Styela clava: one gene and its partner. The protein of the gene in region 2 interacts with the protein of the main gene of each other region in a pairwise test. Links are inferred from orthologs where the notes say so. Each region holds a gene or a part of one and is shown on either strand. Other genes may lie near its edges. The genes, in order: phagosome assembly factor 1-like and BCAS3 microtubule associated cell migration factor-like.

What was found.
Region 1: the proteins of BCAS3 microtubule associated cell migration factor-like (region 2) and phagosome assembly factor 1-like interact in binary tests that used the Homo sapiens proteins (3 or more experiments, as listed by UniProt). The link is inferred for Styela clava from reciprocal best matches to the Homo sapiens genes BCAS3 and PHAF1.

Annotation. Positions count from the first base shown.
Region 1 is NC_135263.1:19,871,794-19,882,916, forward strand, and holds phagosome assembly factor 1-like, read left to right. Parts: upstream 1-5,305; 5' UTR 5,306-6,228; coding exon 6,229-7,449; 3' UTR 7,450-8,006; downstream 8,007-11,123. Other genes in the region: tubulin-specific chaperone C-like, read left to right, coding at 8,058-8,523, 8,784-9,039, 9,206-9,500. UniProt on the Homo sapiens protein: Plays a regulatory role in autophagic activity. In complex with BCAS3, associates with the autophagosome formation site during both non-selective and selective autophagy.
Region 2 is NC_135257.1:2,743,655-2,755,396, forward strand, and holds the start of BCAS3 microtubule associated cell migration factor-like, read right to left. Parts: upstream 5,118-11,742; 5' UTR 5,016-5,117; intron 4,558-5,015; 5' UTR 4,543-4,557; coding exon 4,451-4,542; intron 4,336-4,450; coding exon 4,284-4,335; intron 3,579-4,283; coding exon 3,396-3,578; intron 3,077-3,395; coding exon 2,992-3,076; intron 2,315-2,991; coding exon 2,248-2,314; intron 1,594-2,247; coding exon 1,409-1,593; intron 464-1,408; coding exon 387-463; intron 1-386. Other genes in the region: calcipressin-2-like, read left to right, coding at 10,205-10,360. UniProt on the Homo sapiens protein: Plays a role in angiogenesis. Participates in the regulation of cell polarity and directional endothelial cell migration by mediating both the activation and recruitment of CDC42 and the reorganization of the actin cytoskeleton at the cell leading edge.

The DNA of each region.
Region 1 (11,123 bases), on a different chromosome or scaffold from region 2:
TGTCGGGGTAACATCGTATGGAGACTTTCTCTGGGGTGAAGGGTCGAGAAAACAGTCATTATGCATGCTCATGTGGTTAGTTAGAAATAAAATTGTCAGATAATGCCAGCACTTATTTTGAAGCAAAGAGGTGATTTTGAAGATTGATTTGCACACTCTATCGGTTACTTCGAATAGCCTCAAAATAAGTGTTAACATTTCATGGTTACATACCGCAATATATATATCTTCATTGTATATATCAAGTCCATGCATCTGAAAATAAAAACTAGCTAACTAATCCCGTATCCGACATCGGCTGGGCCGTGGTTTACCATGTTATTAAACCGCCGGGATAAAATAAATATGCAAAACCGTTGCAATAATTGGCATCTCATCAAAGAACAAGAGAGCGATGCTCATATATATGGACACGTAGACCAGAGCGAATCAGTCCTTATTGGTACCTTTGAGGCTACCGGTACCCTCAAAAAAGTTCCGAATTTCCAGTAGCAAAAATTTTGCAGAATCAAAACGTACATCCAGTCACCACGCGGACTAAAATCCGTGTTTCCATGTATAAATAATAATACAGTGAAATTTTGGAGGAAATATCAAATTTCATAGAATTCATACAAAATTTAGAACTAAAAAGTAATAGCCTTCTGGAGAAAAGTCCATCTTCAACCACTGAAAATTTCAAAGCAATTGGTCCAGTAATCGAAAAGAAAAGCGACTTTTCAAAAACGTGTCAAAGAACAAGCATAAGAACAACAAAAATACCGAAACGATCGTTATATCCACTACGTGTCCAAAAACAAATTACCATCTTATCTTATTGTGAATGGCAATAAATTGAATGATGGCAATGCAATTTGTAGCGCTCTTAACCAACATTTCTTAGAAGTTGGTCCTAAACTTGCTTTACGAATAAGTCCAGTTGCAACAGATCATATGCAAACTGAACACTAAAAGAAAGAAGAGAATGAAATTTCTTCCGACGAATAATGAAATGATTGAAGTTACTAAAAAGATGAACACTAAATAGAAGAAGTGGATGAAATTTCTTCCGACGCATAACGAGGTGGTTGAAGTCACTAAAAAGCTGAACACTAAAAGGAAGAAGTGAATGAAATTTCTTCCGACGAATAATGAGGTGGTTGAAGTCACTAAAAAGCTGAACACTGAAAGGAAGAAGTGGATGAAATTTCTTCCGACGAATAATGCTGTGGTTGAAGTCACTAAAAAGCTGAACACTAAAAGGAAGAAGTGGATGAAGTTTCTTCCGACGAATAATGAGGTGGTTGACTCGGCCAATGTAAATAGCATCATTTCGGACATAACCCATATACCCAACACTGTTTCGGATCACATACTATGCCCACAAATTACACTAGAACAAACCAAAAAGGTTCGATGGGGCAAAGGAACGTGGCGCAATAACACCGCGCTATATAAGGACCCCACGTATATCACCATCATCCAAAATACATATAAAGACGCACTCACGGATATCGAAAACTTTGATTACTTGTCGGACTGGTGGGACTATGTGAAAAAGAGGGTTAAAAAACAAACCATTGCCTACTCGAAATTCCGGACACGTGACCACAATACTAGCTTAATGCAAATTCGAAAAAGATTTGATATATATACTAATCAATGAGGGGAAAGCGGAAAACATGATCGAAATCAAAAGGCTAAAATCGCAGATCGAGATAATTCAAGATGAACGAAACAAAAGGGACATACTAATGGCAAAAATGAAAAACCTTGAAGAAGGAGAAAGGCCCACCAAAACCTTTTATGAAAAAATCCGGCGCAGATCTAGGCAAACAACAATAGAAGAGCTGGTGACAAATGACCAAAATGTAAAAACAAATCCCGGGGAGATCATATCAATAGTAGAAAGTTTCTATAAGAACCTATGGGGCAAAGAGAATATAACGCAAGAACAATACCAAAATCGTTATCTAAACTTAATGGGCTCTTCTAAAATTGCAGATGAGGATAATATCATACTAGAAAGTTATATCTCACAAGAAGAGGTATATAGGGCGATAAAATTTATGGGAAACGATAAATCCCCAGGATTTGATGGTCTATCCAAAGAATTCTACCTGACCTTCTGGAACTCTATTAAAAAGCAATTTACTCAACTTATGAATAACATATTATATTTCGGCCAAATACCAAAATCTGCTACCATAGCGAAAGTTAAATTAGTATACAAGAAGGGAGACAAAACAATTTAAAAAATTGGAGGCCAATCACAACGCTCAATGCGGACTATAAAATCCTATCAAGAATCCTTGTTAAACGATTAGAACCAGTACTAAACAAAATCATAAGTCCATCCCAGAAATGCGCACTCAAGCAAAGATGTATGGAAGATGTTCATTATAATATAGACGCTATAATTAGACACTGCAAAATGAAAAATATCCCCGGATCACTAATAATAATAGACAATCTTAAAGCTTTTGATAGAGTGAATCATGACTTCTTATTTAAAATTTTACATCAAATTGGACTTGGAAATAGAATCTCAAAAGCAATTAAAAGCATGTATTACGGAATTAAAAGTCAGGTAGATGTAAACGGTAGACTCACGCAGGAAATCGATATAGGGCAAGGAATTAGACAAGGATGCCCGTTAAGTATGCTTCTCTACGCCATCAATATAGAGCCCCTAGCAAGATCGGTACAATTAAATGCCAATATACATGGTATCCAACTGGGGAGATACGAGCATAAACTCGATCAGTTTGCTGATGATATCACGTTCGCAGTTAGAGATCAATTATCTATTACAGAAATCTTTCACGAGCTAGACAATTTCCATTTAGCAACAGGACAAAAAATAAATAAAGATAAGACCGAAATTCTCTGTATTACAAAAAAATCGCATAATTTAGTGAACAATTCGCCACATGGGAACTACATAAAACAAAACACCATAATACTTGGAATACAATTTGGAAATATGGACTTAAACAATATGTGGCAGGTAATCGAAAATAAGATGATACGAACCCTAAATTACGTTAAGCTGCGAAACCTCACCTGGTATGGTAAACTGATATCAATCAACTCCATGATTATGTCTGTCATAATCTTCCATACGAGAGTAAAGAGAATCCCGAAAACGTATATAAAGAAAATCGAGAGTGCGCTGTTTAAGTTCCTCTGGCACCCGCAAAAGATAGAGGCCATTAGCAGAAAATCGCTACAAAGAATGTGGAACGATGGTGGGATCAATATGATTGATGTTGATGCAAAAATAAAGGCATGTGCAGTGGAAAAAATGAGATACATCGTGGGTAACGAACCCCTAACTCAATTTTGGCAAATAGAGGCATTATACTCTTTGGGATCCAGAGTCAAGCAAATTAACAAGGATAGATACACCAACTCAATGCCCCACAGCAATACTATTCCAGAGCAATGGGCATACATCCTCGACATCTATAAAGAATTGAATTTCTCGCAATCCACCTGGGAGGTTGCAAGACATAAAGACCTGTACATGAAATTAAAGAACAACAGGACAGCCAAAGACAAACAACAGCTGCTGAATGTGAATTGGGAAGAAGCTCACCTATTTAACCATGATTATAAAAATAAGTTTATTAACGCGGAACGAATAATCTCGTATCGCATTATAAGAGAGGGGTACTTATTCGGCGATCGCTTGAGGGGAATGTCCCTCAGGTATGATACTCTCGGAAACTTAAAAATATTAGGCTGCAAATTTTGCAAAGGGCCTGTAGACAATACAGGACATATAATTATAAACTGTAAATCAACGAGGAAATATGCGGTGAAACTTTTAAAAATTCTTAACAGCGTACTAAGCAACTCCATCAAAATAACTCTAAAGGAAATATTCTACAATAGTTACAGGGGGCATAACCGAATAGTAGTCACCAAATGTTATGTAATATGGAAAAAGAACTTAATTGGCACCAAAATAAGACTGGATATCCAAAATAAATATTTGACCCCTATGGACGATGACATAATTTCAAAAACAATATCTCACTTTACGCAATTTTTAAACACAATGGAGAACACTTTTACTAACCTTAATTTTCTCGGAATAGTAAATAACTGGAAGGAGATCCTAAATGGATATTCAGCTACATAACGCAATCCACCATAAACAAAAGCATATCTGCCCAAGTGGACTCTGCAATTTTATTCATTTTTTATGTCGGAAATACCGGAATACCGGAAATACCGGAACAGTCTTATCGGCTTTCCTCGCCCCCGGGACAAATATGTAAATCCTATTTATCTGTGCTATTCTTATTGCTGTATTGTTTATTTATATTTCATACTGAGCCCGACTCTGTTATGATGATCTGTAATGTACTAGATCACAGTTTAGCACTAAAATATCTGCTGACTCAGTTTCTGCCCTTTTTATATTTATATTGTAGCAACCAATTCTGACAGTTACATAACAGTGTAAAATTGGTCACGAGCCTCGATGACTTTCAACGGTCTTGCATACTGGCCAACACAAAACAATGTGTAAATTGGATGATCTACTTCCATAAAAATCATCGATATTGCTTTATATTGTTTTATCATTGTTTGTGGAAATAAAATCTCTCTCTCTCCTCTTGCATACTGGAATAATTAATTTAGGGTCAAGGGTCGAGTAAACATACTTTATTGCGCGGAACCTTTTCTGACTTTTGCAGGTTTGTGAACAAAAAGATCGCGATATCCACATTTACGGTATGCGAGGACATCAAGGGAAGGGTAAGAACCGTACGGCGTACGGTATTATATGCGCTCTATACGAAGCGGACAGGCCTCACTCATTCTTCCTCATCAGTGTTATCAATTTCAAACGCTTTATGCGTAAAGTATTCTCTCTTTAATGTCATCTACGAAACGATTAAGTAGAAAGGTTCGTAACATTGATGTAATTGCATTAGGACAGTTATGATATCAGCCAGTTCATGAAAAATTGCATATTTAAATAAATGCAAAGTTATTTTATATTCTTACAAATTATTTAGCATAATGTCTGAATGTAGGCCTAGTCTTGAATTGATTCTTTAAATGAAATATACAGAAAATATAGATGAAATATTATTTTAGTTTTAATATTTAATATTATTAAAGTTTTTTATATCATTATTTATTCGAATTTGTTCTAGGCTACCGGTAGACTACCTGATCTCAACTAGTCTATCATCTCTTTCAATTCATTCCTCATTTAGTACAAAACATGTTTCTTGATCTTGACTGAATCAAATTTGATTTTCAATTTAAAATGCTCATTGGCCAAGATATTACTGTATTATGATCATGATTTTATTATCCATAAGAAAATATAGCTTCTAAGCTTCAGATCATATAATATAGCACTATGTTTGTAAATTGAAAGTTTGGCAAGAGATCCCACAGTTCATCTAAAATCTGGCTGGTATTTGGATGGGAAACTCCCAAGTCCATTTTCAAGTATTTTGCAGTATTGTGGCGTCTGAAGGCTGAAGCTGCCGCGAAACTATGGCCGCTATGCCAAACTCATGGCGACTGACTTTTTAGCTGCCAGAAACCATTTGCGGGTAAAATTTTGCTGCCTTAACCACGGCAGGTAGGCCCACTACTGCACTAGGCCGTAAAGACAGGGCTGCCCTGATAGTGACAAATATTGGGTAAGTTGGAACATTTTTTTATGGATACAGTTTTACATGTATTTGGGGTTAGGTTTCAGGTATAAATAGTCTATTTATCTATTTAAAATAGATATATTTCCGCATGATGAATTAAAATCTGGTATATAACTTTGTGAATATACGGGCAATAGCGCATAAATCATGGCAAGAGCCGCCGCAGTACGTTCGTGGCAGGAGCTGCCATGAAGTGGTAAGAACTGCATTAGGGTGAACTCAGAAATGCAGCATTCACTACTGCGGAGCTTTGTGATGCAATAGTCTATGTTTAAATTTTTTCACATGTTAATTTTAGTTGAACGACCTTCCCCCATCCAGTTAGTCCCATTATCATTATTTCTGATATGGCAAATTTATTAATGGGGTAATCCATTTGAGGTAAGTGGAAGCGTGTATCTTTTTTTTCGGTTTTCATTACTCATTCGATTATTCGTATATCTGTTTTATTGCGACTGAAAATCGGAATAAACTCTCTAAATTGTACCTATATTTTATTTGTATACAAATAGTTTGTTATTACCAGATTACTGTATTAGCTAAATCTAAGAGTGAGATGCTGGATTTAAATGTTCTCCCTGAAAGATCTCTTGGAAATGAACAATGGAGTTTTGCACTTGGAATGCCATTATCACAGATTGTACAAATTTTACAAACACATTGTCGAGTCATAAAAAGTGTGGAAGTCATTTATCAAGAGAAACGTCCAATCGAATCTGATCTGGTGTTGAACCTGAATAGTGATGGAATAAAACTTGTTTTTGACTCTACTGCACAACGATTAAAAGTGATTGAAGTTTTTAACATGTCAAAAGTTAAACTTAAATACTGTGGAAATTATTTTAATTCTCCACAAAATAAACCAACCCCGGAACAGATTGAACAAGCATTTGGCGCTACTCGACCAGGGCAATATGATGCAAGTTTGCAATCGTACATTGTAAGCTTCAGAGGTCTTACTTTTTTCTTTCCAGTCGATGCTCAATTTGAAAACTTCTTCGCTAAGCATTCGTTATCAAGTGCCACATCAAGTTTGCCCACAGATTTTATTCCTGCTGTATCAAGAATGTGCATTTATGCTGGGAGCCAACTGAATGAAACGACTGCACCAGCAATGCCATTGTCTTGTTATCATGGAAATCTATATCTTGATTCGGCTGAAGTTTCTTTCAAAGAAAATGGCAAAGAATGTGATGGACTAGATCTGAAACTAATAACTGTTCCTGATAATAAAAATGAAACTATCATTTTAGAAAAATCAGTTAAATTTGGTGATAGTGTTCAGCAAGTTCTTGCAATATTAGGATCTCCATGCAAAATTTTTTACAAGCTTCAAGATAAAATGAAAATACATTCTGCAAGTCCACGTAAATTGAATGAAACTCGCCACACAGATTATTTTTATAATTATTTTACTCTTGGAATCGACATATTATTTGATGGCAAGTTTCATCAAGTGAAAAAATTTCTTCTGCACACAAATTTTCCTGGACATTACAATTTTAATATTTACTATCGATGTGATTTCAAAATTAAGCTTCTTGGAGAGGAAAACTGTGTTGACGTTACTCCATGTACACTTTGGAATGATGTAATTGGCCAATTGCCTTTTGATGTTGGCAAACCAGTTGTTCTGAATAGAGCATCGTCAACAAATAACACTAACCCCTTTGGATCAAATTTTTGTTTTGGATTAAGAAATATGATTTTTGAGGTTATGTCGAATAATCATATTGCATCTGTTACTTTGTATAATCCGCAAAAACAGTTGAAATAACTTTTCAAAAATAAGATATTACTAGGCAACAGTATTTGAATGCTTGGTGACTTCAATATTTGCTCTAATCATTGTGCTGTCTATGTTTATGTGTGTTCAAAATTTAAAAGTTTGATTTGTTTACATATCAAAAATTTATATATTATCATATTCTAGACATAAAAAATGAAATAATTATTCTGAATGTTTTGAAAAATGTTGATAATACTGGAGAATTGTAAATTTTTTTTGATCTGTTACAAGCTTTAATTGGAAATTTTAGTTTTTGCTTATAACAGATTACTTCCTGAGTAAAGCCATTGGTTCATAACTAGTTGGGATATATAGCTAGCTGGTTTGCAAAATTACCTGATGTTCTGAATTCTGTTGGGTTTTCTTTGTTGTTTTAGACTGTGTATGTTTTTTCCATAATGAAATAGAATAAATAGAAGATATGGTAAATAATAACTGTGTAAATAATTCTGAATCATCTTTATTAGTTTGTTAATGGTGCAAACAGTAAAACATTCATTAATAAAAGCAGGCTTTTAAATTGTTTACTTTCCATTTGAGCATAATTATTTTGATATGTTCTGGTAAGTAGTCTCTGGAAACATTGATCATTCAATATGGATGCTATTAGCAGTGAAACAAATGGTTCCAAAGATACTATTATGAAAAAGAAAGAACTCAAAACAGCAATGCTGGAGAAACGCGAAGAGGAAAGAGTAGATAGCATTCAACAAAAACGGAATCAAGACACAGAGTCAAAAGCGAAGATGGAAACTTATGATTATTTTATATCACATTTCAAAGATGAGTGCGATGCTGTACAAACTGAACTGGACAGAACAGATATCAATAAATCTGATCGCATTCAAATTGCAAGTTATCTTGAAAATTTATCTGAGTCCTATGAAAAAGTTTTAAAATTTGTAAATAACTCTACAATGTTTCTACGACCTTATCAACTTGAGCAGGCACAGAAAACTCTTAATCAGGTTCAGACGGATGTTTCCAAGAAGAAGCTTGAACTGATTCCCAAAAAAAAGTTCACATTTAAATCTAAAAAGAAGAACGAAGTATCAGTTAAAGGTAAGACATCTATTATTTCACTTGTTGCAAACTTTCAGTTTCCATTTCATATTCCAAGTGCAATCCAATTAGTCTATATGTAATATTTTAGTGTCCTACGCTTTTACTGTACATAGACTCTCAGATGCATTTGTTTTTATTAATAGATAATTTCATTCCGAGTGTGGTAAAGATAATTATGTATAAGATTGTAAAATTCAAAAGTGGTGAATGTTTTATGGAAACATTCTTTTAAAAAATACTAATATTGTATTATTCAGAATCTGATAAGAATCCTGTAAAAAAAGTCGACGATAAGAAATTTAACTTCTCCGCGAGTGAATGCGGAATATCTGATAAATACGATGCGACTATAGCTATGAAACCTGATGAAATTAATCAAAGAGATGTATCATTGACAAAACTAGAAAATTGCCGACTGGAATTAAGTGGTTATCCAGGAACAGTACACCTTAACAACATAAAAAAATGTGTCATATTGTGTGGACCTGTATCAGGTTCTGTGTTTGTTGATAAGTAAGTAGTGTCTCTAAATGTATTGATATTGATCTGGTTTTATTTTCTCATAAAAATTTAATACACCTAAAAGGACTGGGAAAATTTATTTAGTTCAGTTGATTATTGTAGTAAGGGATAATCATGATCCTCCCAGCTTTTTAACCAGGCTTATACATTTTTACAGCTGTACCGATACCAAGATTATCACTGGGTGTCAACAGCTCCGTGTACATAATACAACTGATACTGATTTCTATATCCATGTCACCAGTAGAGCAATTATTGAAGACACATCGAGGGTACGATTTGCACCATTCAATTGGACCTATGAAAATCTTCAAGATGATTTTGGTAAATCTGGCCTGAATAAAGATTTGAATAACTGGAGTAAGGTGGATGATTTCAATTGGTTAGCTGCTGATATACCTTCACCAAACTGGTCTTTATTGCCAGAGTCTGAACGAAAACAACAGTGGTAGATATTTTAACCTACAAAGGATGATGTATTCTGAATAATTATACCATAGTCAAAAACAAATCGAATATTGTGTGTTGTAGGTTACGTTGGCCATATTTGCAAACCTATTGTGTTAAATATTTAACCGTTTTAGAAATAAATGAGATAATTTGTAACGATAATGGTGGATATTTTGTTGGAACTGTATCTGATCGTTGAAAACGATTTGTAAGCAGATAGCAAAAACACGTCTACGGAAACTTTTGAAACCGAATATCAAGGAAAATGATTTCATATTACTTCAAGGGGAGGGGGAAGTTATAAAACAGCTCAATAATATGGCAATATAAGAACGCGCTTAGGGCACCACAGAAATTTCATAGCAGAATTTTATATAGTTTATCAGTGTTTATTAAAAATATTACGAGTTAACCATGCGACCGTCTTCAAGTATCATGTTATCCTTCTGTACCAAAAATAAACACTTAAACTTATTTATTGGACACGAAATGGGCTTATGAGTCGTTTTGTAAAATTACTGTTGTTTTTTCCTCCTAGTATTCTCCTTGTTGATGCATTTTTGTTTTAAAAAAGTTTATTTTCTTTTCAACAATTGGACCTATGAACTATTTGCACTATGTGGCGGTTTCACAATCGCATTTCAACGATCTAGTGGTCAGCGAAGTCGGGAGTTTTTTGATAAGGTAAACCAGGGCGGTCCAAACCCTGTCATACTGATACATTCCGTGCGGCCCACAGAACACTTTTAGCGTATATTTGTATCTATTAGCAGAGCGTTTTCGAGTTTTTTAGATATTCCAACTTGGGTGGGGATCCCGAGATCCCCCTTTTTTTTCTAACGCTTTGTGTTTTTATTTTAGTAAAAACACTCTTCTGTTTTCAAGCGTGGGCCATGTTTCAGTAGTGACGAAACGCAGAGCCGACTTAACGCCGCGCAATCCATTTTTTTCAGCAAGGTCCCGAAATACCAACTTAGATGGTTATTTGACGATGGCACTAAGCTTGTCATTTTTAGCAGTTTTGAAAAAAACGTAAAAAACTTCCATTTTAATAATTCAATAATTTGCCATGGTTCAATTTTTTGATCGTAGCCGGATTTGAAGTTAATTTGTATGACGCAGTTAAGTGACGTCGTAATGGCGCACTGTGACTTAGGCAGAAATGTGTCTATGACTTGGGGACATACGCAATTTTGTAACTTTACTATATGCACCAGTCCTGAAAACTAAACATTCCAAAAACGAATGTAATTCTCAGTATCTACAATGTCCAGTCCCAAAAATAGCTAATCAGTTTCAATTACATTATTTTTTGTGTTTAAAAATATATATTTCATAAATATAACACGTTCTGTACACCTACCGAAATAAGATTAAACAGCAATGCACCCAATATAAAAGCCAACCAAGGTGAATTGGACTCGGACAGTGAATATCACAAGTGCACGCCTTCCTATACTGTAGTATAAATTCAAATTAATACGCGCTAGGATCTAGGTTCCAAGGTGCAAAAACTCGAAAGTACTTCGCCGAGGTTATTTTGCCTTTGTGACGTCACAAGAGTCCATCGGTAACAATGATAATTCATTATGACGAAACAATTGCACAAATGTGCATGTCATACT
Region 2 (11,742 bases):
TAAATTTGAATATTGAAAACAAATTATACAGGCGAGGATGGCTCTTAAATTGGACAGAGCCTGCATGTAAATGTTTGTCAATTTCCCAAATTTGTGCTATAATAGTGTTTTCAGCCAAACCACCGAGAATCATACCGTCTTTCCTTCACCGTACCTTGATCATTATTTAACCTTGACAGTCACAACCAATCTTGCAACGAAAAGTAAATCTGGACTGGAGTTGCAATGAATGTTTAGAACGATTTCAAGCAATGAAAAATTGTTGGTGATGATAAATATATTTGAATTTAATCACTTTTATCCCCATCCTTAATTTGGGATTCGAGCTGGTAGCCCTGTTGTTAACACTGGACATGTGTTCTAACTAATTTGAATTAAATACTGACCTTAGCAGGAGAATAAGCAAGCCATTTGTTTCCAACTGCAATGGGGTTGCTGTTTACACCTGGACTTGGATAGCAGTCTGAAATAAACGATAATGACAGATTGAATACCCTCAGCATTAATTATTAGCATATAAGTCAGCCTGGACAAAAAATATTTCAGCTGAATTAGTACCAGCCTGACAATATGTTTTAGTAGTGTGTGAATAATGATAATGAGAATATATTAAGCACAATGCCACAATCACTTGAATACAGGATCATTTGGCTATTTTTATTTATTCCAGTACAAGGGTTATTGTCTACAGAGTAAGTTAGGAATGTCACTTATTTCTGAAATGAAACCAAATTTCCATTTCCAACTAGATTCGGCAGAATGACCTTGGCGTTTGGACATTGACCCTAGGAAAATTAATATTCGAATATTTAGAAATATGAAACAATTACTTCTAGTCTTCCAAATTAAGGGCAAATTTAGACGCTGGTGGTAACTCCAACACAAGCATAAAATCTAATACTATGACTAGGATTAAACATGCACGGCTAAATAATCTTTGTATAACTTTGTATTGTGATTGAAAGATCTAGTCTCTTTGAGTACAGTATCTCAATTTCAAGCGATGGGTCATGAAGAGCAATTAAACATCACAAAAAACACTAGAGCAGTGGTTTTCAACCAGGGTTTCACAAATTTACATTCAAATGTTATTGTTTTAAATATAATCAAATACCTATAGTATGAAGTTAGCCACTATTTTTAGTAAACTTGCAAGACTTAAAGAGCATTTAGATCTGCCAGAATTAGGTTTGCTTTTATGTAGTCTATATTCATGAGCATTTCAATTTTATTGATCAAATGATGTTTGAGGGTAACATTTCCCTCATTTATCATTAGTAATCCATCAAATTTTCAATCCATCAAATGACCAATATTTCAATATACATGAAAAATATGTGTAAGATAGTTTGTAAAAGATAGATATTAAATAACATCAAATTGAAAATGAACATAACGATATACCAACCTCTGACTGTGAAAATTAGTTTAAAGTCAAAAGTGTTGAAAGCTTTTATCTCATATCTCAACGTGACAATGATCATTCCTTCCAATCCAGTACTCAGCTCTTCAACATTTTCATCGAATTCTAACTGTCGTATTTTATCCTTTGTTCGCAAAGAGAATATACTCACTGATGTGAATAGCTGTTTTCTAAAACAATGATTGACTTTTATTAACAGCAGTCATAAATATAATTGATTTCGAACCTCAATATCCAAATAATACAACAGGAAAAAATGTCTAACATGGATTAAATACTCAAAGAATTCAAAATTAATTACACTCGATTTTTAAATTCTCGATTATAGGAATGCAATTCTTTTGAAATAGTTTCATTAAAAGATTGCAGTCTCATAGTTTTTCAATTTCAGAAAAAAGGGTAAAAAAAAAGAGACCAATCGAATCATTGTTTATTCTCAATTTTCTGCATTTTTATTTCAAACTAAATAAAATGTGGATCAAACTACCAGATGTGCTCGTCGTTAGACTAATTTAATACGAAATATATTTCATCTTTAATATTTAAAAATATTATTTTAGAATGTATCACGAAATAAAGGTATTAGGTCTCAGCCATACCTGATACCAAGTTATATATTTGTATAGTTAGTCGGCCTCAGCAGAACTTTGAAAAGGAAAATAGAAGTTTGCAGTGGCCAGTGGCAGTGAATACAAATTTACTTTTGCAGTGATGTAGACTATTGTTTATGGGCATATGCATCATCAAGCTACCAACTCAGGTATGAAATATTGGAAGATTGAGGCGCATTAATCAGTATTCCTCAAGTCACCTCCTGAACTAACCTGTCAGCAGCCATACAAACAGCTAGCAAAGGACGAGATATTGTGTATTCATCATGCTTTTTATCACCTATAATTAAAAACACCAGTTATGTTTATCTTATAGATTACGAGTAAGATTGGTGAAAAGCATTCAAATGATTCAGAATATTAATTACAGCATCTTTCTCGATGCTTTCTCACAGCCTAAATTTGAACAATCCAAATGAGGGCTGTTGAGTCAAGAAAAATTTAGAACAGACTCCAACTTCAAATTTAATAAATGTCTCCTGGTCCAAATTGAAACAGAATTTGTCCTCAACTTCAGATTGGAGGAAGTTTTGACTCTGACTCTAGTATTGAACTATGACAAATCAAATTTAAATAACAACAACTTTGGAGTATGTGAGACTTTTATACCTGTTTGTTGAGAGTGCTTAGTCAACTCGATGTTTTGTGAGTTTCGGACAGAAATTTCAACCTCCATTATAATCATTAGAAGCCTTAAATTCAAACTCTATCAAATTTAGATTTTGAATATCGCCCCGATGAGATACAGCTCCAGTTCTCACTCCAATAACAAAATAATATGCCAGTTTACTTCACCAACTCAAGCTGATCAGAATATCGAAGATTGAAATGCAATGTACAGTTGTACACTAGAATTTGAACATACCTCTGGGACCCTCTCTCTAGTCTAGACAAAGCTTGTTACATTTATGAAGCCATCAAATTAATTAATAACATATATAGGATTCACAAACATACTTGAACTGCTTGGTGGAGGAACTAGACAAGCTGTCTTCACAGGACCTTCACGCAAAGATAAGATCTCTTGTACTTCACCATTTTCCTGGGATCAAAAGGAGTTTTTTAACAAAATTATTGAAGAATATTACACATGTTGAAAGTACTGGACTGTCCGAAATTGTCTGAACAGCATATCTGACAGACAGTACACCAAAATGAAACTGCTTATGTTAGTACTTTTACAACAATCAATTTGTCAATCTATCATGCTTGGAATATAAAATTTCCTCAAACGCTATAGATATGCTGCAGATTTGAAATCATATTTTGAAAATTCGTTCAGTTACTGGATTTATTAATTAGAATACTGAAGACTTTTATGATCATCCCTGAACAAAAGGCATCTTTTAAATCAAACTTACACATATTATCCATGCTTGTACTCCATTTTTATATCCCAGGATCAACAGCAAAGAATCAACAACATCATTTCTACTCCCATTTGTAAAACCGTCAAATTCAGGATCCAGAGCATTCTTATAATCAAATAATCTTGCCCACAGAACAGTTTCTTTTTCTTCTGCTTGAGATGTATTAGAATATACCTATTGAATATAAGAGAGTACAACATTACGAATACAGCTGAATATATTACTTTCAGATGAATAATTTTGTAGGATGGGATTTTTATATTTATCCAAGGGAGAGAAAAGTTGATAAGACACTTAATCATATTATGGTGAACAACACCCTCTTATATGGTTACCAGTTCATGTCAGGTATGAGAATGGATAACCATTTATTCGTTGCAGATGTATGGACTTGTGTAGAAAGACTACACCATATATATGAAACTCGCTACAAAAACAAAGAAGAGTCTAGAAATCCTATCGCACATGATCATCCCCCACAGAATTCTATCTGTGAATCACTGCAGGGTAATCAGAGGTGCAAGAGCTTTTCAACTTATTTTCCTAACTGAAACTTATGGTGGATTATATCCTTTGGAGAAGTGCAAGTTTCTATGTTAGATATTGAATAGGCCTACTCGCTCTTCTGGACAATATTGATATATAAAGCAATAATGTAGACAGTTTTTCTATAGTTGAGAACCTTAATCATGTGAACATATTTGGTTAAAATCTCCAGCTCCTGGTTCTGTGATCAACCAATTTCTATCTCACACATGTTAAGATAGATAAAGCAGACTTATCTTTCTATGCAAAGCTCCCTATATCTTAGTGATAAGAAATGTACAAGCAGATATTATATTGTATATAAATATGGAAATCTTATAATATAACACTTACTTGTCCAATATCATGAAAAAAATTCACCATGCTTTCCATGTAAGAACTGTCTCTGAAAAGAGTAAAATAAAATTAAATCCATGCAATCCCCAAATCGAACATGTTCATGAAGTGTATTGGTTGCTCAAGGGTAAGTTGATTGAATTTGAACTTATAAATATACTTACTTCATTGGTTGTGCTTGCACAACATGACCCGAAGGCGCGTCTCTTCGACGTCTTGAATTCATCGTTTCAAAATTTGTAATACCACCAGACATGTCTTTATTGAACTTCTAAAAATATAATAAAAGCAATTTACCAGTTACAATATATAAAAGTGAAATAGAAGCTAGCAAGGTTTTTGAAAGTGATTCATCACCTTACAGCAAGTTACAGTGTAACATATGTTCCACAAATATTGGCATATAAGTAGGTTCGACAATCAAAAATCTAACGCATAAATCATTTATGAGAGTAAATGGGAAAAAATATTCTGTTATGCAAATGAAAGAATAATCAGTTAGTTTCACTTCTCAAACAAATTCTGAATCATCGTCATCGTGTTTTTTATTGTTTGTCAAATGTTGAGGCGATCCGTCAATTTTTGCATTGAAGCATATTTTAAAATATAATTCTCACATATTATGACTCTTTTCTTCCTAGCGAGTTATTGATTTTAAACATGTTTTTATTGTGTGAACATGAAACATAATTTCTAAATAAACCTGCATTAAAAATTAATTCAATATACCTTTGAATAACATAGCTGGAATAATTGGTTGTTGTGTGAATTGTATCTGATACATTAGCATTTTAATTTTGCTATCAGTTTCTAAGAAAAAAATTAAACATATTTTTGAGTAATAATATAATAATATTACAACATTAAAAAAGTGACTATCTGAAACTTAAAACATGCATTTCCAAATCGCCTATGCACGAAAACAACGGTGATAGAAATACTTGCATTTTAAACAGATTCCAACTGAAAAAATATATCTAATTATGGCAGTCCAAAAAAATATCCTGATTATCTATTATTATTATTATTATGCACTTTAACAATACACGCACAACTATAAAAATGTCCCAACAAGATATCCCAACTCAGGTAAATATACATATAACATATACCTGAGCTGCAAATTCAAATTGATCTCATTAAAATATAATCAAGTAATAACGAACATTCAAGCCTAAGCTCTGAATAACACACCATGAATAGTATGAAAAAATTTGAGTACCTTTTGACAGGTTCTCCATATTACAAATCATTTTGACAATTAAACCCTTCGATGTTATTTTAGAAACAGATGGAAATTTTGAAACGAAATAAAATAGAAAAAAGCGACATATTGAAAAATTAAAGTGAGAAATTAAAAATAATATATGAATGCATAAATTCTCGAAAAAAAGAATACAATTCTTCTCCTGATACAGAACATAAGCATTGATTAATTCTGTAATGATCTAAGACAGTATGAAGTTATAAAGCTGCTTGATAAAAACAAGTATTGGTCAATAAACTATTCAGTTACTGAAGCAGAGGCCAGGTGTTTTACACATAATTGCGAATTTGTGAAAGCTGTAATGTAGAAAAGGGTTTCAAAATATTTAAGAATTTTCATACAACCTACTGGTAAGTATATTATTATTATCAACTTTTCCCCGATAAAATATAAAGGTTGTATAATTATGTCACATATAATTTATTATTCTAATTCCACGGATCCGGCTTATAAAGTACAATTCTGTACTATCTTTACCATCATGCAAGAAATATATCTTGACAGATCAAACACATGATGAGCAAACGTCTAATTCATCCACACTGGATCTGCTGATTTACCAATATGTCATTAAAAGTGTGCCTCTATCTAAGATGTCAACATAATATATGACCTAGTATTCTGGATTGCAAATATTTAAAATTGATTGAATAAAAGGATAGTAATTTGGTTTTGAATATAGCCATCTTTTTTAAATATCATTATTTCTGATTCATATGAAAATTAATATTTTTTTCTGTAAAACATCATATTTTTTCTGCTAAATCACCATAGTCTGTAATAATATCAAGAAAAAAAAACAGTTAAAATTGGGTAGACATGGATGCTAGAAATTGTTGAATAATAAAATTCTGAAGAACTGCAGCAGATGACTTGATAGTGCAAGCAAATGACAAATGACAAAAGTGATCATTTCAGTGACTAAGCATACTGAAACATTGTCATATCATTCAGACATTTTTTTTTTCATATTCAGCTTGCCATCCAATTTTCAAGCTGCCTGAGTTCTGCTTCATCATCTTTCACTTTTGCCACTGGAGTAGGTAGATCCGATACTGGGACATCAGGAAGTTCATTTGTTGCTGCACCCACATTCAGCAATTCTCTGTCTAGATCTTCCTGCTCTAATTCCTCAAGTTCAGCCATGAGATCATCTTCATCAATGTCTGTGCCAAATCCTACAGGACCTGACAATGCGTCACTTATTTCTTGAGCAACTTGTTGTTGCTCTTCAATGTCATCCATAACCTCATGAACATCATCTGCTGACATGTTTCCATGAACCTGTTTCAATGCTTTTGCGCCATATTGCATGTTTTTGAAAGTTTGTGCATTTGCTTGTGCATCCTGCAACGCTTCCACTTGAAACTCAATATTTGATAAAGTCCCATCCACCTGACCAAGTTGTTTTTCAAATCTCTTCTTTCTTTTAAGTGCTGTTAAGGCTAGCTTTTTATTTTTAGTGCCATGTCTTTTGGCGGTAGCAAGTTCATCTTGAATCTTTTTCTCCAAGTATTCTGATTTTTTCTCAAGCATTTCCTGTGTTTCTTTCAATTTCTGGATCGCTTCCTCTCGTGTTGGCTGTTTACTTTTACCTCCTCCAAATAACTTTGCTAATCCACTCATTTTTCGCAAAACTATTCTTCCAGTAAATACGTGCGTTTTCACTGTGCAGATATAGTTCAGGCAGACAACAATTACAATTGCACCACAAGGACGACAAAACAAAGCGATTTTTCCTGAAGCTCATCAGCTGACAAAAACAAAACAAACTTGTCGGCGGTCAACCATGTAAGAGTTGAAAGGTCATATTGCGACGCCCACTAAATATTATATTTGTCCAGTCTTGCCATTCAGTAATCAGTATTTACTTATAATAAGTATAAGTATATAAGTATAAGTTTACCAATCTTAAGATCGGTAAGTATGTTGATAGGTATTTGTCTGTGTATGTCTGTTTGTCTGTATGTTAGATGCACGCGATATCTCACGGAAGCGAGGTTGAATCTGCTTCAAATTTTGCATGTGCATTCGTTATAGCTCGGATCAGAAGCCTATTGGATGGATTATGTCTTATAGTTAGCGAGTTATTAATTAATTAGTGATGGGACACACAGTGTCACTATGGAGTAAGACCACTGTTTTGGGAGATCCCCTAACCTTCGATCGATAAGTCTTCGGTTTCTAACCGATATTCTAGTTTATTTCTTCATCATGCTGAAAGTACGAACTATACACAAATTAAAGGAAATGTTAAAAAAAAATGCATTATATGGTGAGAGAAGACGCCGAAAACAATTTCTTTTAACTGTAAATTATATGAGCTCTTTTTATAAACTACAAGTACGGGAACAGAGTACTGGCTGTTAGCGCACGCACCGCTGCCCAACTAGGGTTGCCAACCGTCCTTAATTGAGTTTTTCTATCCTTGTTCTTTATTATTATTTATTAAGTTTGTAAATTACGCATTTCGTCCATTATTTCTAACATCGCTTTCCCTATAAGAGCTGCCAAATATTTAGAATTAGATTAAAATATTGGTTGATTACTGTACAGTGCAGTTTACAATAAACAATCGTGTGCCGGAAGTGCGACTCAGAAGTTAATCAAGCTCGTTTGAGTTGTTGGTAGTGAGGAAATAGGAGGGCACGTGCTCCTTGCGCTAAGAGGATATGAAGCGGATAATTCAAGAAATGAGTAAAAATACCGATACAAACAAAACTGAACACCAACTTCCTACAAATGTAGATTCCGTTGTGACTTGCAAAACGATTGTCGACTATAGATCGTTTTTCAATTCAGCAATAACATACTAAAAATAGGTCTTGCAGGGAATTCGCTTCCGAAATATCAGAAATTGTTGAATATAGTCAATTTATTTTTCCCTCAGTAAAAAATAGCATACGGAATTAAAATATATAAAAATTTAACTCGGTTATACTTAGAGAACCGATACCACTTTTGCCGCCGTTACCGATATAAATGAAAATATGCCGATACCGACGAGGCGATATTTCAAAAAACCGATATTGCCGATATTCTGATACTATTTGATTATTACCTCGTGTACAGATGCATTACCTTAATCAATTCTGATGCATTGTGCATCGACTCTAGTAATCTCGCTGTTCAATTAGAAAATTCATACGATCCGGTTACTATGGATGGTAAAGTGAATAAATATTCACTTATCATATCAAACTGATATATTGCGTTGCGTGCGCAGGAATTTGTGCCAATATAACGTCGTATTTTGTATGTCACACATTGGATAATCTACTAATCTTCGATTGATATATTTCATCATAACTTCCCTGTAATATTACAAATGTCAATATAAACATTTGGCAGCGAAAATAGCAAATTTAGTTGAGCTAGTTTGGCTTAATAATAACTAAAAACAAGTCAGAATCAAGTTTTAGTTTCTACTCGCGGAGGAGAAATACCGCAAATGTCATGCCGCAAAAAAATAATTTCAAGATTCGTTCTCTAACATATTCTTAAACATTCGTAATCAGATTTAAAAGCAAAATATATCGGAAGTATCGGTCTACATTTAGCCGACACTAATACAAATACCGATACCAAAAAAATGGTCGATATTGCAAATAACTAATACCGATGGCGATACATTAATAAATCTTTAGTTACAATGGGTGAGGGAAAACGCGGGGACCCAATACTGGTTATTGAGCAGCCACACCCAAGGTTCTAATATCTAATAAGGTCAGGAACCAACAACGGCCATTAGTATTTATTAAACTAAACGGCAGACTTGCTCTGAACATAGATGTCCTTTTCCATGAAATCGCATTATTTAAAAAAAATTATTATTCAAAGTTCGAATTCACAATTGTGTAAATAATATCATCAAGATATATCATTAGTGCTTCGGCCCCGGGGACATCGGAGTACATAAAGATTAGACAACAGTTGCTGAAGTCGGCTCATCCGAGATTAGCCGTGGAAACAAACGGAAAGCAATAGTTCAGATTGATCCGCAGAGGCTGTAATGAAGCCTTGACAAGTAAGTCAAAGAATTGCCGTCCTGTGTGTTTGTCCTTTGTTTTGTATTTTTTTTTTTATATGGAAGTGTTCAAAATAAATTATTTATTTATATTAAAATATTTGACGAAATAATATCGCATTAATTTTTAGATCATGTTGAATGAGTTCCGAATTTCTTGGCTATTGCTAATAAGTAAACGGCTGCCACACACTTGTAAGTTTACAAGTATATGACTGACTTTAGTCAATTATCCCATATGTTAGGTTGACAAGACGATGTGGCAATAAATATATATATTAATAATAATAATTAAACCATCCTTTTCAGATTTTCTCCCATATGATACCTATACATAACATATAAATACCATTGTATGCAACAGTGAATTACTGTAAAAGAAATTTTCAATTTTTCATCTAAATTTATCCGCGTAGAATTAGTATTTAATTTAGTTATTGTTTACATTTTGAGGTTTTATATTCAGTTAACCATGGTTTTATGTCCTTTATGGCTTTTCAGTTACGTTGATCTCGGCCTATTACAGTATTGGATGAATTGAGTCTATAATTCAGTTTTCAAAAGGGAAATACTCTTGGTTTCAGAGGATACTGTATACTGGTTTATAAAATATCAACATATTCAATGCTACCTGACACGAAAGACATATCTAAGAGGGAGGCTCATAATGGCTGTGCCAGTGCGGAATTGCTCCTGAAAGAATTGGATGTTGAGGACTTGCCAAGTTCTGTTTTTGTGTGTGATGTTCCGAATATGGTGTTCTGTGAAGAAGACGTTAAGGTATGCTTGTACATTAAATACTTTATTGGCTATCTGTACATTGCAATATTGGGTCTGGTATAGTTTAGTACCACAGCCACTTCTAGTTGGCCTGGCTCAACAATTTTTGCATATGTCAATCCTAACCCCAACCTGACTACGTCACCGAAAAATTACGTCATTCCGACGTCACAGTGGCGTAATAAGGCTCACCGAAGTATGCGGATGGTCGTCCAAAACGTGCAGACGATAACCGAAATCGAGCAAGCTATTTCTCTCGTTTTCTCGTCGCAACGATCACGATAGGAGAGAGATCGCCAGCTTTAGCAAGTTCTTATCGGCGGCGCAGATGCCATTTCGAGCGATCATAATTATACTTTGGCAACCCCTATGACGTGATGGTGACGTCAGAGTAACGTAATTTTTAGATGGCATAGTCAGGTGGGGGTTAGGAATAACATATGCAAAAATTGTTATGCTACGCCCACTGGAAGTACTTGTGGTACTAAACTATACTAGACCCGCAATATCTTCTTGATGCAGAACAGTCTGACAGTAAATTATATATACCGTAATATTTGATATAACTTTAGGCAGTTAGGTGAGTGAACACTTACCACTTGTATTTGGCAATACCTTCCATATTCTATTATTGTATTATGTACGTTCCAAACCTTATTCAAGGTTTTGTTTGCTCTCTCTGATTTCATAATCAGGTTTGATTTATCCGTTTTTATCAATCATTTTATTGTTATGCTGTTTATGGAGTCGAAATAAACTTATACTTATTTGCTGATTTGTTATTCTAAGTACAGACTGACAGAACATTTCCGTAGCATACCGGTACTGTAGCCTAGGACATGCAGAAATGGCATAACTCAGTAGCCATATAGCATAGGCTCGGTGCTGTGGAGCATCATCTGTTTATGCTAAGCATTAGTAATATGCTTGCCACCTCTACCCTGCAGTAAAACTTATGTGCGAGAGAATTGCTGGACTCCTTTCCGCCATAGTGTGGTTCGCACAACGGCTGGCCGCTCACGTCTTCCTCCGCCATCTAAAACAAGCGGCTGTGGTTTGTCATATGATTAAGACTCATCGATATTCCTCTTCCCCGGGATAAATATGTAAATCCTATCCTGCAGTGGCCAGGTATTGACTTCATGATGGAGGAAGCCATAATAATCACTCTACAAAGGTGGGGGGTCCATTAACCCCCTCGCACATAATTATCCCCACAGGATTCGAACACATGGGATAACCAACCTCAACATGTTAATCAACCTCAACATTCTGATGCTGCCACAAATACTGTAATAGGAAATATTATGCCATGTATGAGTTTTTCATCATTTCCAGTTCAATGTAGAATTATTATAATAAGCTGATTTTGCTGTTTGCTC